Linked DNA regions of Nothobranchius furzeri. The protein of the gene in region 1 interacts with the protein of each later gene in a pairwise test. Links are inferred from orthologs where the notes say so. Each region holds a gene or a part of one and is shown on either strand. Other genes may lie near its edges.

Region 1 (4,529 bases):
GCCAGAGTCTAACTGCTCCTGGGCCCCCGGGGGCCCCTCCTCCAGGCCGGCATCCAGATCACCGCCATGCGACAGCCCCTCCATCAGGCAGGCAGGGTCAAGGGCGTGGCTAAAGAGGTGCTCCCGCAGGCCCTCTGGGGAGGAGCAGCGCTCTCCACAGCGGGGACACTGCAGGACCAGGGGACGGTCTTTAAACAGGAGTCCCTGAGTGGGACTGTTACACTGGGCGGGGGACAGAGGCCCCATCCCTGGCCCCTCCTCCCCCTCACCGTCCTCCTCCTCCACGCACTCCTGCTTGATGCGAGCTGAGATGTCCGAGTCGTCTCCCGACACCACTGAGCAGAGGTTACGCATTCCTGAAACTTGGTGGTCCGGCTGGACCCCTTCCAGTCCAACGGCGAGGGACAGCTGGGCCCGTAAGGCCTTCCCAGAGGACCGCCCGTCTTCAAGAGCCCCGCGGGACACTGTGGTGGTCTTCGGGGCTCCAGACGTCTCCTTGTTGGCCAGCTGAGAAGAGATCTGGATTCCATACAGGTTGGACATGCGGACCACATCGGTGGTGGCGTCAGGAGCACCGTCTCCGGGTTTCCGGCACAGCTGGTACGCGTGGAGGAATTTGATGCCGTCCTGCAACCGGCTCTGGTCCACTGGCTGTTTGGGACACATGCCCGTGTACATGATGTGCAGCAGATAGCTGAAGACGTCGGGCTGGATGTCCGTGGGCTGGATCTTGATGCACTCACTGCGGACAAACGGAAACCAGGATCAGAGCAGGACAGATCCGGTTCAGATAAACCAGATCCTGAAATGTTCTGTGTCCCTGTGGGAGTGCTGGGATCAGTGAATCTCAGGTGTTTGGTTACCTGGACTGGTGGATGAAGATCATTTTGAAGTAGTTGGAGAAGGCGGCCAGCACGGCTCGATGGGCCTTAAAGTAAACGTTTCCGATGGCAACGGTGCAATCACACAGGAAGCCGAATTCTCTCTGAACGTTGAGCTGCTGCAGCAGGAAGAGGCTGTGGGATGACACCTCCATGACCCGTCTGGAACACACACACACGCACACACACACACACACATGCACATGCACGTGCGCACAAACACATGCACACGCGCGCGCACACACACACGCACACACAACCACACACACACACACAGAGAAACGCGCGCACACACACACACACACACACACACACACACAGAGAAACGCGCACACACACACACACGACCACACACACACACACACACACACACACTTCTTGACCAGCAGCTAAAAAGTGACATCACATCAAACCCTCTGAGTGTGCACATAGATAATAAAGCATGAAGAGTTTTAATTGAATAAATTATTTTATTATTGGTTTAATTTGGCCCTTTTATACAAACAACTCGTATGTTGTATAAATGTTGTCTATAGTTCTGGTTCAGCTCAGGTACAGGAACACACCTGCAGGGTTAAGTCTGCTGCTAATAACAGCAACAAATAAAACCATTCACCCTTTCATCCTGACCCTAACCCTAACTCAACAACTCGTTCACTTTTGCTGCTTTTCCTAAACTCCCTGTTTTCACTATTATTTGTTTATTTAGATTGAGCTAACAGGTGAGCGCCACTCCTTCTCCTCACCTGCTGGACGCAACAAAACTGGTTTCTGCAGCATCACTGAGCAGCTGGAGCTCACCTGGACATCTCACACCTGTCCTCAACACTTCACGCGCAGGCTCCGCCCACTTCCAACCTGAGCTCAGGTGGACCAAAACGATCTCTGACCTCTGTGAAGGTCACCTGCATGACCCGGAACTGGGAGGATGGGGGAGGGGGAGATAGGTACTTTCATCACAACAAACCACCGGAACCAGAACGTACCCCCTCCGGAACGCCCGGCGCGAGCCACCGCAGCTTCGCGCGTGCACGTCACGTCGCGCCCGCTGAGCTGCAGCATCCTCCATCCTCCTCTCATCCACAATTACCACACACGTACGTCTTCATCACCAACACCGAACACACCCCGGCACGTATGCACGCGCCTTGCGCCCCGTACACGCCCTCTGTCGGCGCGTGTCGCGCACACGCCCCGTTAATCAGACTCTTACCGCAGAAACGAGCAGACTGTCTTCAGGAGCCGATTTGTTGCTGCAGACACGATCTCGCGTAGAGCCGAGCCACGTCTCGCGAGAGGACAGGTCAAAGGGCTGGTCACGTGATCCGGCGGTGTAAATCTTTTTTCCAGTCATTGGTAATCCCAGAAAATGTTTAATAACGGATCAGAGTCAATACAAAAACTAAATTGCAATTACCCCTTCGGGGGTAAATATGAACCCTGAAACCAGTTTGGATGATTTCAGCCTTTTCTCAAAGGTTATTTTTACTTTTGCTGCAGAATAATCCAGAATAATAAACCCTAACCCCGCTCAAAGTACAATTGAAGATAATGAAATGAGTCAACACCAAACACACGTTACCGTCTTTGTCAGAACGTGATGGAATTTAAACTCTTCTGAGTAAAAAAGATCTGATTAGAATGAATTAGACTTTCTGAGAATCACTGTTACTGTATTCAAAGGAAATAAAAATAGAGTCTATTCTAGAATGTGGTCTGGGATCATCTGTCTCGCCTGCAGAGTCACGCTGAAATTCACCAGAATGACAATCTCGTTAAACTTCTGGAGATTTTTTTTCGTTCCTGAATCCTGCTCAGAGTGAGACCTCCGTTTTCTTTTTTCTCTTTTCTCAGCTTGACATCACTCGACTGTACATACGGCCCCAAATGACCCCGAGTAAAGCTAGACAAACGCATTTGTTTCCGGTTTGGATTTTCAAAGTGAAATACATATATTTGATAGGGACTTATTTAGAAAATATTGGAGCCAACGCTAATTCTATCTATTGTGAACACAACAGATTTGTGCACCACACACAACAGGTCAGGGTATAACTTCCAGTAAAAGACTGGAGCCAATATAATGATCAGAAAATCGTGTGTTTTCAGTGCTACTGGAAGTAAACTAACCAAAAGTAAACTTTTTTTTTCATTAATTTCTACAATGAACTATCAGGAAAGTATTACTAATATTGTAGTTTGACCGCCAAAGTTGTGACCGGACGTCTTTTATTTTGAACTTCCAGGTTTGACGGAGCGGCAGACAGTGCGGAAGTTATTTCATCCTGCAGGAGAGGAGGAAGAAGAGGCAGTTCTTCGTCTCCAACTTTCCGCCTTAACGCAACAACCAGTCCGGGGAAGAAACACCGGCGCCCCGGGAACTACCGCCCTCCGTTAGCAGCAGCTCCTCGCGGCCCACCGGCACCCACGGTGAGTCCGCGCTTCTCTGTCCGACGCTCCGAGCCGCCAGGCCGGGTACGAGGGGAAATCCCCGCGGCCTGCTGGGCTCTGTACAGGCGGAGTGCGGTGGCTGTGCGGGGGTGGCGGGTTGTTTGCGGGAAAGGTTCGTCTCAGTAGAGCTGTTGACACTGGCGTGTTTGTTATCCGGTGTAGATTTTCAAAATAAAACCTGGTTAATGAATTAGTTAATTTCACGTAAATAATTGCTTGTAAACAACTTCATCAAGTTTGGTTGTACACCCTGATATCAATTAAAACTACATTTAGATTTCTAACAACATGAGAAGATAATGAAATTAAAGAGCGGGTCAAGTGTGCCTCAGAGTCCTCCACCCACATACCTTCGTGAAGACTTACCCGTCTTAAAACACTATTAGACACTTATTTATACAGTTCATCAGCAAAAAAAGTTAATTTAGACGTTACTTGCTCTTTAAATGAAAATATTCTATTTGTGGTCTTAGTGCCCTTTAAGCTGAGAGCTACCAACCAAATTTTGTTATGTGTATGCATAATGACAATAAAGAATTCAATTCAGTTCAAATCGTTACTTGGCACACATTTTGTCTGGTTGTTTAGTGTAGAAATAATTGGTGCACTTTGCAAGTGTGTGAAACTTATTCATGGTATGAATTTGAATTTATTGTAATATAAGGATATGAATGGTCCTTTTAAATATGTACCCATACCTGGATAATGTTTTCATTGAAAATAAAATTTGTTTATTTTTGTTTACAAATAATGTTTTCAAGTCCCCTTATTAATTCTGAACCTTATTTGTTAAACCAGTTTATTATAACATAAAAACAAATTATCGCCACTTTTTTGTAATATCACCTTTGCATGTACTTATCTTTTACCAGTAAAATTTAAATGTCTATTTTCTTGCTAACTTTTGCGGTTCTTGGCTTAATCTGAAATTTAAACTCCCTCTAAACCACGTGCCTTATTCGGCTTTTATTTAGGAAGCTCAGCTTTAACTTCCGGTGAGGTCGATGCCAACAGCACCTAGAATTAGCTTAGCTTAGCTAGCCGTGGCTGAGCTGAAATCTCCATTTTAGCTCCGTAGCTCGGCTGGCCTCGCCCCCCCGCTAGCCACCCTGTCACGGCCTGCTCCGTCCTTCCTGCGACCTGTAGCTGACGGCCGGTGAGTGCGTGACCGACACCGCGGTGGTCTTTAGCGGGGTT
Region 2 (3,818 bases), on another chromosome or scaffold:
GTTTGTAAACCATTATATCAAATAGCATGTTATAAAATATGAAAGACCTCTTAAAATGAGCACGCAATTGCCAGTTATTCTTCAAGTTTTATTCAAAATAAGTTTTCAAAACTTCAGCACTTCAACTTTACTTCACAGTAAACAAATGCCTGTGCAAAAAATAAGTATACAACCTGAGCCGATTTTCCCCTCGTGTGAGAATCTAAGAGCCTGCAAGCCAGACAAAAACTAGGAGATAACTGTTGAAGTAGCACAGCGAACGGCTGCGGCCCAAACAGCACCAGAACCGCTCAAGGCGCATGCGCAAACATGGCTCGCCAGCTATTTCCCTATTAACACAAGTCCATTTTAATTTCTACACTTTTTTTTCTCACACAATAACAAGGATTTTTTTCTGGAACTGCGCTGCTCTGGGTGGCTGCATGTTGGAGTAGCTCTGTTGACTATATGTAAGTTTTGCCTTATCTTGGGCATTTTTCCTTCTAGTTTCTCAAGAAAAACTGTATTTTTTTGGACACTTTACTTTTCTGTTTCTGGTGCTGTGAAGCTTGGAGGATTTTTACTGCTATTTTTAAGCTTTTTTCACTTTTAGAGCATTTGTTATGATGCGTAACCATGGCAACAAACTGGTTTGCAGTCGGTGTGTTTGCTGACTTTAGTCTTCCAGAGAGCAGCTCTAGCAGGTAATAAAACATCCACAAACAACCCAGCCCAACATCCGACATGTTTAGACTTTCAGATTTATCTGAAGTGTTTCCTGTGCTTTACTGGGAGACTTTAACATCCCTCAAGGTAAACTGGTTTTATCATTTATATAAAATACACCTGCTGGAATAAACAAAATAAACAACAACCCCTTAAGCAGGTCAGATTACTGATAAACAGTCATGATAAAACTAATTTGAATCTGAAATGAGTTATAAACGTACATTTCTATAACTGCGTTAGTAGCTCGTTAACGCTAATTCCATAAAATGCTGTTTGTATTTTTAACACATGCACACACAGGCAGTGAGTACAATAATCAAAAGGGTATAAACTTGGATAAACCTCCAACCTTATTTTAACATTACTGAGAAAAAAAATACAGCAAAGCATCATTTAACCTGCAGTTATTCACTACTGAAAACCTAGCTTCTATGAGCAAAATAACAACATGAAAAATTAATCAGGAGAGCAGAAAGCACACGCTTCAAAATAAATCAGAATATAGATTTTTGGCCATTCTTAGTAGAAGCTAACTGTTAGCATTAGCAACTCTACCACACAGCAGAACTCCTTCAGGTTTGTGTTATTTGAGGAGAAGACACATCAACGTTGCAGAGCAAACAGACTCGAGGCAGTATTTTAGAAAAAAATACTTCAGAAGCTGCTTGTTTCACAGAAACAGATCAGGTGCTCATGTGTTGCTTTTATTACAGCTTTCTTTTAATTCATAGCAAATTTTAATTTGTGACTTGCTGTGATTCATGCAGGCTGAAATGAAATCTGCTGACTGAGTGTTTTGTTCACTAATCTTTTAAAGGGGCCATATCATGGAAAATCCACTTATTTGGAACCTTTTCCCACGTGATATTGTTATTGCTGGTTTTAGTTCTTATCTGTGTGCAGCGTTTATATGTATTAAGATTTAATCTAGGACTGTGACTGCTGTCATGTAACAGACGTGGTGGTCCAGTGGTTAGAGTGCTGGGCTGGACACCTAAACCACTGGACCACCAAGGCCAATACAGCATCGGACTCGCCTAAGATGCTGTTGTAGGTGGGCTGAGTTTCCCCGAAAACAAACTGTTTTGTTTCTGGGTAAAAATTCAGGCAGATTAAAACGACTCGTATTTAAGATAACTGACTTCAGCTCTCACCAGCATGATATAGAACCTTTAACAAGAAAGGACACCTCACAGATTTGTCAAAGTTTGCTTCTTAGCAAATATGTCAGTGATGTAGATGCATAATTTTCACACTTGGAAGAGTTCAGCTGATATTGAAGAGCGCTGCATCGGCAAGATGAGGTGGACAAAACGGCTGAATGTATATTCATGTAATAAGCAGGACTTAATCTCTGTATTCTGATGTTTTACAGGAAAGAGACAAAGTGATGCCCCTGATCATTCAGGGATTCAAAGACGCTTCAGAGGAGGCTGGCACGTCTGTCACAGGGGGACAGACGGTGCTCAACCCCTGGATCGTGATGGGAGGAGTTGCTACAACAGTCTGCCAGCCCAACGAGTTTATCATGTAGGAATGAGTTCTTGTTACTGATTTTTGTTTTATTTTTGCTCGTTGCATGTTTTGTGTCTCTTTAAAACACCATAATGGTGCCATTTCTCAGGCCAGACAACGCCGTGCCAGGGGACGTGTTGGTTCTGACCAAACCTCTGGGAACACAAGTGGCCGTAGCGGTGCACCAGTGGTTAGATATCGTAAGTTCTGGCGATGGTTCTTTTGAGAAACATCTTGTGATACACACTACTGACTGGACTGTGTCTGCTTTCTTTATCTCCCAGCCTGAGAAGTGGAACAAGATCAAGCTGGTGGTGACCCAGGAAGATGTGGAGCTCGCCTACCATGAAGCCATGATGAACATGGCGCGGCTCAATCGTACAGGTAAGAAGCAGCAGCAGCTTTTGAATAAACTCGGTGTGAGATATTACATGGGCTGTCTACACAACATGGAAATTTCAGTAAATACGTGTTTTACATAATGGTTTTTGCAACATTGTTTATTAAATAACAACATTTCAGCCATAAACTATAAATCTAATTACAGATCAGTGAGTTAATCACCCTGAAGCACATCTAAGCTTCTGTTTGTTCTCTGTTGCAGCTGCCAGTCTTATGCACACCTTCAATGCCCATGCAGCCACTGACATCACGGGGTTTGGCATCCTTGGCCACGCTCAGACACTGGCACGACAACAGCGGAGCGAGGTGTCCTTTGTCATCCACAACCTGCCGGTTCTTGCCAAGATGGCTGCCGTGTCCAAAGCCTGTGGGAACATGTTTGGACTCATGCACGGCACCTGCCCTGAAACATCAGGTACTTGTTTAGGTCGTTAGGTTACTTTACTGGTACCTGCGGGTATGTGTACCTAGTTCTGTTCTGTCTATGCTCTTCCTTGTATATTTTATTTATGACTTTTTACAATAATTTACAACAGCTTTACAAAATAAGTGTCGCAAGCTGCTGAAACTCTAATAACAAAGAACATATATGAGAAAAGGAGTGAATGCTTTGTTTGTTTTATTTAAATATTATACAAGAGTGAACTTGCAGGATGTAAAGCAGAAATTATTTTAAAGACATGGCACATTACAACTCCTTTTTAATATTTCTGATTATAATAATCGGTCACTCAGAGTTTTTCATGCTGGCTGAACATGAAAATAGTCTCCTACACCTATCTCTTGTGTTAGCTTCTGATAGGAAATGGACGGTGAAACGCTAGGATTTGAAAATGGTAAATGACCTGTGTGTGTATAGCGCTTTCTAGGGTTCTACAACCACTCAAGGTGCTTAAAAAATTTGTGACAGATCTACGTCTCACTGTCACTTAACATTCATGGACTCGGTAACCGTGACGGGGAAGGGTGTCGTTGGTTTAACATCCAGGAAACGGTAGTAGAAGCTAACTGTTAGCATTAGCAACTCCACCACACAGCAGAACTCCTTCAGGCTTGAGTTATTTGTGGAGATAAAACATGAACGTTGCAGCGCAAACAGAATCAGTGGTAGAGTGGCGTTGCTGTAATCTAATCTGAGATGTCCAGATATCAAGAAATAAGCCTGGAGCTCATTTGTGATGTGGCTCACTTCT

The links.
Region 2: the proteins of zbtb25 (region 1) and sephs1 interact in binary tests that used the Homo sapiens proteins (3 or more experiments, as listed by UniProt). The two-hybrid records come from large-scale screens. The link is inferred for Nothobranchius furzeri from reciprocal best matches to the Homo sapiens genes ZBTB25 and SEPHS1.

The regions. Positions count from the first base shown.
Region 1 is NC_091742.1:15,669,392-15,673,920, reverse strand, and holds the start of zbtb25 (zinc finger and BTB domain-containing protein 25), read right to left. Parts: upstream 2,851-4,529; 5' UTR 1,951-2,850; coding exon 1,868-1,950; exon of another isoform or gene 1,691-1,867; coding exon of another isoform or gene 1,683-1,690; exon of another isoform or gene 1,628-1,682; intron 1,044-1,627; coding exon 864-1,043; intron 743-863; coding exon 1-742. UniProt on the Homo sapiens protein: May be involved in transcriptional regulation.
Region 2 is NC_091744.1:72,586,907-72,590,724, reverse strand, and holds part of sephs1 (selenide, water dikinase 1), read left to right. Parts: intron 1-2,083; coding exon 2,084-2,238; intron 2,239-2,332; coding exon 2,333-2,423; intron 2,424-2,507; coding exon 2,508-2,607; intron 2,608-2,827; coding exon 2,828-3,040; intron 3,041-3,818. UniProt on the Homo sapiens protein: Synthesizes selenophosphate from selenide and ATP.